Linked DNA regions of Callithrix jacchus. The main gene of each other region encodes a partner of the protein of the gene in region 2 in a complex. Links are inferred from orthologs where the notes say so. Each region holds a gene or a part of one and is shown on either strand. Other genes may lie near its edges.

Region 1 (3,813 bases), on a different chromosome or scaffold from region 2:
CCTTATTTGCATGCTGTGAGATAAAGAACAGAGAACCGTGTGAGAAGTGACAGTGACAGTGACTAGAGGACGCTCTTACAAGGACAAAGGCCACTCCACTCGCCTCCTCCTACCTTAATATGAGGAGAGACTTTTGGTGCAGCACGTTGCTTTGTGACATCTTTTCTGATGGCTGCAGACGCAGCAGGACTCATTTCAGCTTGACTTAGTGGCTTTGGTTTTGTTACGGGTTTGTATTTCTGATCAACTGATTAAAAAACGAAAGACGTGGCCAATAAGCATATAAACATATGAGCGTGCACATTTTCAAATGTCACCAGAAATAAATATTAAAACCATATTAAGATATCTTCAAGAACAGCTAACTTTTCTAAAAAAAATAATAAATCTTATTTTAAAAATAAAGAAACAACATGACATAGACACCTGTAATCTCAGCACTTTGGGAGGCCAAGGCTGGAGGATAGCTTGAGGCCGCCAGGAGTTTGAGACCAGCTTGGTCAACATAGGGAGACCCCATATTTACAGAAAATGTTTTCAAAATTAGCCAGGTGCAATGGCACATGTCTTCAGTCGCAGCTACTTGGGAGGCTGAGGCAGGAGGATAACTTGAGCCCAGGAGTTCAAGGCTGCAGTGAGCCGTGATCACACCACTGCACTCCAGCTTGGATGACATGGTGAGACCCTGTCTGTCTCAAAAACAAAAACAAAAATAAAAGAAACTAGGAAGTAGTAGGCTTAAATTGTATAACACATTGGAAAATGGTTTGGGACACTATTTGTTAAAATTCAATATCTACTTACCTTAACATCCAGTAATTCCACGCAGAGGTGTACAGTCAAAAGAAACACACACACACACACATACAAAGATAAGTACCTAACGCTTATAATGTGCATAAATATTCATAGCAGCATTATTCACAATGGCCTCAAATGACTAAAATAACAATCAAAAACAGACCAATTCTCTCTCTACATATGTATATGAGTTTATGTGTATATGTGATTATAAGTTAAATGAAATCTCACATCGTAGCGAAAATGAATCAACTGCTGCTATGAAACAAAGGCAGATTTCTGATTATGTTCTACAAGGCTTTGCACTGTCTGTCAAGGGGACCGCATCCTGCCCTCTGAAGATTGATTCTCTGTACTCCAGCCATACTGGCCTTCTCTCAGTCCTCAGGCAGGTCAACACTTGCTCATGGGGATTTTCACACAGTGTTCCCTCTGACTGAAGGTACCTTTAACTGCTATGGATTTTTCAGAGCTTAGCTCAAGGGTCACTTCCCTGTGGAACCTGCATTTGGCCAACACCAGCTCTAACTCCTGGCTCATGTTAATGCTCCTTCGACACAGCTGCTAAAGAACTTCCTTCCTTTCCATCAGAGCTTTTGTTCTCCGTTCACCACATGGATTCATTTGCCTTGTAAGAAAATGTCTACCTTCCCTTTAGAGTATAAGCTGTACAAAATCTGGATTTGTTTTTAACTCCTTGTTTTCTCATAAGGACCTAAAAGGATTCCTTGCATCTATTAGCAATTCAATAGATGTTTACTGAATGGATGAAGAAATGGATGGATGGGTGGCATGTTGGCTCCTCACTAATGCCTACAAAATGCAGTTGTATAATCTGGCTGGGCTCCTCCAGGTCTATGGTCAGGTTATATGTTATTTTGAAAAGCCAATTCCTAGTCGTGATTTTTAGAAAGACCATGTAATAAGATGGCCATGTTTGGTGACTTAAGGCACTCTCAGGCAGAAGAGGGACTGAAAAATTCTCAGCTGTCATTTCTGATAGAATTTGAGCAATTCTGGGCTGAAATAACAAGGCCATCACTTGGATTGTAGTAAAAAGAGAAACTGATTATTAGAACTAAGAGTAGAATGAACTGTCTTAAGAGGTAGTAGGTACTCTGTCATTACCTTTCAAAGAGGCACAAAGTGGTTGACTGACTGGGATTTTGTAGCAGGATCTCTGCTCTAGAAAGAAGTTAAACTAATCTTCCAATGGTAGGTTAGTTCCATGAAACTGGTTTCAGAAAGGTATGCAGATAAAGTCTGCCTTCTATGATGACAGCATACTAGAGAAAACAGTCACGGGAGGTCAAGGGAATCCACCTATCATTCTGCCACATCACATCAGCCATATTTCATCTCACACAGTGGTACCAAAGCAATATTTATGAATAAGCTTGTCTGCCCACTATGAATCTCTCATTTGCCTTAATAATCAGGGTGCACATTGTTGTTTATTATTTCATTTATCCTTTTGAGCATTTTATTTTAATCTTACAGGACTTTTGTAGACTTTGATCACGTTTTCTCTTAGCTTCTTTTCTCTAGGCTTCCATGTCCTTACATTATCTCATTTTGCTTCCTACAAAAGCTTCTCTTGTCTACTGATTATTGCCTCTGTCTTCATTAAAGATTCTCCAGGTATCGTCTATCTTCTGTGAGGTGAGGTTGTGAGTAGAACAGCATATAGCACTCTACATGCAGACATGCAATGGCTATGGAGAGGGATCACTTAACCAAAAATAAAAGATTAACTGTTCAAAAAACAAAACAAAAATTGTTTTCCTATAATAATAGAAGTAGCCTAGACACACAAAAATTTCCTACATTCAAAGGAGGCCTAAGAATGTCTGTGGTTGGAATTTTAGCTTTGATGGAACTTAATTGCCTTCTTGTAAAGCATACAAGAAGCATACTTTGTGTCTTGTGGTTGTTTGAGACAGGGTCTCACTGTTGTTGCCCAGGTGAGAGTGCAGAGGCGTGATCTCAGCTCACTGCAACCTCTGCCTCCCAGGTTCAAGTGATTCTCCTGCCTCAGCCTCCCGAGTAGCTGGGATTACAGGCGCCTGCCACCACTCCTGGCTAAGTTTTGTATTTTTATTAGAGATGAGGTTTCACCATGTTGGCCAGGTTGGTCTTCAACTCCTGACCTCAAGTGATCTGCCCACCTCGGCCTCCCAAACTGCTGGGATTACAGGTGTGAGCCACTTGCACCCATCCAAAAAGCACACGTTGAATCCTGCAACTGTTACATGTGGAGACTCTCATTTGGGAGAGTCCCTGGATTCTAGTCCCAAACTATCTTTTCTATCGAATCAGAATAACAAAATCCCAGGATCATTAGAACAGCAAAATGGGGAGAAGATTTTAGAAGGTGAAACTTTGTGCTATCCTTTGTGTCAAAGAGAAGAATTAATTCTTGATTTAATGACAAAATAAAAGATATTTCTAAAATTCTCCGCCTATGTTTGCCAATAAATATGCTTAGATTCCTGTCTCATCCCAGACAAGAAAAAGAGCAGTTGGTTACTTCAAAACAACGTGTAGTTACTGCCATCTAGGGGCCATGTCTAAGAACTACACCTTCTAACTTCACATAGCCTGGGAAAATACAATGTATAACAAGCAGTCCTTTCTCTTCAGTGCCTTAGATACTAGCAAACAGTTTATATCTGTATAGAATTATGAGCGTACATAGTATCACTTTCATGGCTTCATTTAGCCTTCCTATAAGTCATGTTTGAGAAGTGATGTCATCCGTGTTATACACTCACAAATGCTGTTAAAAGCTGTTGTAATTTTTGCTGTTATAGTTGTACTTTTTTTTTTTTGAGACTGAGTTTCGCTCTTGTTACCCAGGCTGGAGTGCAATGGTGCGATCTCGGCTCACCACAACCTCCACCTCCTGGGTTCAGGCAATTCTCCTGCCTCAGCCTCCCGAGTAGCTGGGACTACAGGCACCTACCACCATGCCCAGCTAATTTTTGTATTTTTAGTAGAGACGGGGTTTCA
Region 2 (4,427 bases):
ATTTATAGGAGTTCTAGTGCATCCCCTAATCCTGCCAATGTCTCACCTGATTCCTTTGGGGTCTAGGACCTGGTGTTCCAGTTGAGGTGGGGCTGGGTGTCTGGTTTCTGAAAGTTGAGGTCTCTGGAGTCTGGGGAGGTTGAGCCATTGAATCTGAAGATGTCCCTGCTGTCCTGGCTTGTGGAACCTGCTCCTCTTGTGCCCTGCTCTTCTTGGTAAGACTTGGGTATTTTTCAGGAACACAGCTGGAAGAATCCTCTAGATTCAGTTTATTTAGCAGGTCAGAATCCATGAAATCATCATAACAGTGCTGCCTTCCTGTGTTTCTCCCAAAGCCATCCATTTCTGTCTTTCCTTGGCCTGACCTATTGCTGCTCCTGAGCTCAGACAGGAAATTCTTTACCTGCAGGGATGGAGGAGTTTGCTGGGTATAACTTGGATGAGCCAGAGCAAACCCAAGGGAGTAGTCTCTTGGTCCATAATCTGTTGGCTGGGAACTCGGGGGTGGGCTGGGGAGGGTGGGGACAAAGTTCAAGGCATAAAAAGCGGTGATCGGTGGTAAGCCATCATTGGATGGCTAGGTAGTCATGTTGTGCTATCCCTGACCAGCTCCTGGAGAGGGATGATGTTGGGAGCTCACTGTGGAGACAGCAGCATTCATATTGTTCTTCACCAGCTCGAAGCCTTCATCGGTTTTTGGTAGGCATTCTAGAGGGACAGTAGATTGGGTTGCAGGTGAGCAAATCTTTTCCTGAGAAGAGCCCCCTGCTGACAGACCCAAGCTTATCACAGATCCAGCTAACTGGGCAGCTCACCCTGGAAGGAGGGTCTGTCCTTGGGCTCATTGCTACAGCAGAGCTGCATTAAATCCTTCAGTCCTTCCAAGCCAGGAGTCTCAGGCCCAGCTTGGGACAGTTCATTTAGTGAGGGCTGGGCCTCCCTCTTGCACACTGCTCCATACACCAGTGATGCTTCGGTCGGCACTGGGGTAGGGAAGGTGGGTGAGAAGAGAAGGCATTTGGGGTAAAAGGGAATATCTGTCCATCATGGAAAGAGGCAGGGAGTGTAATGTGGGGGCACCATGAGGGAGGAGGGCAGTCTAAGTAGATGAGCAGGAAGGGGAAGACTTGGGGCTTTCAGAAGGGCACCTGGGGTTAAGGATCCCAGAATCTGCCTAGAGTCTTACACTCAGCTTCTCTTCCAGCAAGCACTGCCCACATTAGGATCCCGAAGCTGCAGGAGACACAAAGCTGAGGACAGGTCCAATCACTGGCAAGACTCCTTTCCTATACGTCATCCCCTAGGAGGGCCAAGAGAGGTGTAGGAATCCCCGCTGTGTGTTTGGGGTGGGATCCTTACCTGTAGACATCACTGGCTGGGGAGGCCTTCTGGTTTACATTAACAAACAGTTCTGGGGCCAAGTAGCCCAGGGTGCCCCCTGGCTCCCTAGACCCTGTCCCTGACGGTGAGCTTCCCTGAAATGTGGACAGGCCAAAATCTGCCAGCTGCAAATGAAGGGAAGAAGGGGGAAGCGGGGAAGACAAAGCAGGCAGCCTCCAGAATACTCCCTACCCCCAGATGGTGCAGATTCAGCTTTGTAAAAAGAGTGTGAAGGTCAAGGGAAGGGGTTCCCTTGGGTGGTAGATCTAGGTGCCCTGTGGTAGGGCTGGGTCCAAGTCTGAGTCTCCAGGGCCTGGTGGGACAGCTGGTGGAAATGACTCGTGTGGGTCAGGGCCTCTATCACCTGGTAGGGCAGGAGCTAAAACTCCCGGCTGGGCTTTGTCCCCTGACAACTCTGAGTCCAGAGGGAGAGGCTGTGCCTATTCAACAGACAGGGCTCTGCAGGTCTAGTGTCTGGTGGCCCTGGCTGGAGCAGCTCTGGGGTGGGGCCTTGTCCTGAGGCTGAGAGGGGTGTAGACCGGCTAACCTTGACGTGCAGCTCCGGGTCCAGCAGGATGTTGGATGGCTTGAGGTCCTGGTGCAGGAGCGCCGGGTTCTGCTCATGCAGGTAACACATCCCGAGCACCACTTCTTTCAGCAGGCGGCAGAGGAGTGGCCAGGGCCGAGGGCACTGGGGCTTCAGCAGCCCCGACAGGGAGCCGTTCTCCATGAATTCAGTCACCAGTGCCGGCCTGAAATCGTCGTCCCACCCCACCTCCTCGATGACCCCTTTTAGGCACAGCACGAATTCGTTATTCAGACTTGCCATGGCCTTGACCTCCCTGGATATCGCCTTCCTACACTCCAGTAGAGAGCTGGAGTCGCACCGGGGTCCTGGGAGAATCCCTCCCTTCCCCATTCAGGTCGCAGAGCACAGCGGCTCCACCTTTTTGCCCAGACCTTGGCCGGACACTCACGAGTTCACGATCTTGACAGCCACATCGCAGCCCCACTTCCTATGATGCGCCCGGAACACGTTGCCGAACCCGCCTGAGCCGACGAGCTTGTGGTTCTCCAATTACTTGTCTAACACCAAGGAGGCGGAAGCACCGTTCAACCTGAGAGAGGGGTGTCGCCCACTAGCCGGCAGTGCAGTGTCCGCGCTGCTCCCCCCGCCCCCGTGACTCGGCGCCCACTGCAATCCTCGGCCTCCCTCGCCCGCCCCCACCGTCCCTAGACGCAAAGGCGTTCTCTGAGCGAGTCGCGGGTAGCTCTGGGGGTGAGTGTCGGAGACTCAGATCCACACGCCACTCCCTACTCACCATAACTTGACGTGAGACATCAGGCTGGAAGGTACGAGGGGGCCGCTGGAAATAGCGAGCTGCAGGAGATGGAGTGACTTCCGGGGCTGCGGTCTTTGGTAGAGAGGGGAACGGGTCTGCATGCACAGGCGTCAGTCTCTAGACCAAGATGATGATTCCACTTTCCGGGTTGCTACCGCTATTCCGAGTTGACTGAACAACTTCCCTTTCAGGCGACTCTACAGTCCCGCCCCTGGGGTGGGACGGGGGCAGAACGAAAGCTAGTGCTTTCCTCTCTGACTAGTGTTTCTTGGGCGCCTGCTGCGTGCCGCGGCCAGGTTGGTTGTAGCTGGGCATTGAGGATGTTAGGGAAGGAGTCCTCACCTTCCGGGAACCCACAATCGACCCTCTCCTACAGCCAACGCCTTCCCTTTTCCCACGGGATTTCCTGCTCCACCACCTGCCAGGCCGTGAGTGGGGATGGTGCTTAAGAGGGTTTTATGGTTCTGGGGCTCAGCTCTCTCACAGCTGCCCTAAGATTATAGCCAACACGTATATAAAAGTTACTACACACCAGGTACATATATTAGCTTATTTAATTCTCACATGAACCCTAAGAGGATAGGTACTGCTTTTATTACTATTTTTATGGACGAGGAAACTGAGACACTGAGAGTTTAAGTATCATGCCTAAGCCCATGTGGAAATAATGGCTCTGAACCATCAAGTTTTCCTATTTTCACATAGACTTCAGGGCTGTACCACTCAGCTGGTCATGCAGGTGGTTGGGGAAGGTGTGAAGCATCCAACGATGTAATGAAGGACCCCTATCTGTATTCCTGCCCAGTCCCTATCGCTGCTCTGATAGGGACTTATATGCCCTATGAACAGGAGCCCCTGGAGCTGACAAGCCCTAAAACAACTCCCAGGGCATTGTGGTAAGGCTAGATATATCAGCCCAGCCAGAAGGTTGCTGACATTGCGGTGTACATTGCAGTGGAAACACCTCAGAGCTTTCCTGCCCTCTCTCTTGCATGACAGCTCTTGCATGCAAATACCCTAATTAATGTTCCTGACAAGCACGTGCTCGGACACAGGTCTTTGATAACCCGGGAGCATGCAGCGTCTTAAAGATTTAGGGCAGAAAAAAGGTGTCCATATTTTACCTTTCTAAGGTCTGACCATGACTGGGGGTTGTGGGAACAAGCTAGGGTCAGCCCTAGGCACTCAGTTCTTCACAGGGAGACTCAATCCTGTGGGTTGTGTGTTGGCTCTCACTAAAAGGTGCTCACCTTGGTACTTGCTTTCCATTTTGTCCAGTGGTCCATGGGCTGGTTGAAGCAGAAGTGACTAGCAGTTTTTTCTAGAACAGCTCCTGGAGAGCCATGTCATGGCTTCTGGTAGGGTCAGCTCATGCTATTTTGGAGCCATTTAGGGAATTGTTCAACCATAGTCTCTTTAAAAGCCAATAAATGACAGGTACCCAATAAATATTTATTGAATTGAATGAATAAATGAACAATCAAAAATACTGAGCCTTCCTTAAGACACTGATCATCCTAGATGAAACTCCATACTCATTAGGAGGAAAGAGGAGATTGGGTTCCTGTAGGGATTGAGGGCTCTCACCTGAACAGTTCATGAACTCCATCTGAAGTAGGCTTTAGTATAGAGATATGGCGGTATCACACAGAATCCAAGAAGGCAAGAAGTGTAGCAGATCCTCAGAAAAGCCTAGTCAGAAGC

The links.
Region 1: RIPK3 (region 2) and AIM2 share a complex: the UniProt entries of both Homo sapiens proteins name them as parts of the AIM2 PANoptosome complex. The link is inferred for Callithrix jacchus from reciprocal best matches to the Homo sapiens genes RIPK3 and AIM2.

Annotation. Positions count from the first base shown.
Region 1 is NC_133519.1:19,052,455-19,056,267, forward strand, and holds part of AIM2 (interferon-inducible protein AIM2), read right to left. Parts: intron 784-3,813; exon of another isoform or gene 677-783; coding exon of another isoform or gene 427-676; intron 248-426; coding exon 114-247; intron 1-113. UniProt on the Homo sapiens protein: Sensor component of the AIM2 inflammasome, which mediates inflammasome activation in response to the presence of double-stranded DNA (dsDNA) in the cytosol, leading to subsequent pyroptosis.
Region 2 is NC_133509.1:58,638,744-58,643,170, forward strand, and holds the start of RIPK3 (receptor-interacting serine/threonine-protein kinase 3), read right to left. Parts: upstream 2,897-4,427; 5' UTR 2,703-2,896; intron 2,499-2,702; 5' UTR 2,300-2,498; coding exon 1,928-2,299; intron 1,506-1,927; coding exon 1,360-1,505; intron 1,234-1,359; coding exon 1,187-1,233; intron 984-1,186; coding exon 816-983; intron 709-815; coding exon 641-708; intron 404-640; coding exon 26-403; 3' UTR 1-25. UniProt on the Homo sapiens protein: Serine/threonine-protein kinase that activates necroptosis and apoptosis, two parallel forms of cell death. Necroptosis, a programmed cell death process in response to death-inducing TNF-alpha family members, is triggered by RIPK3 following activation by ZBP1.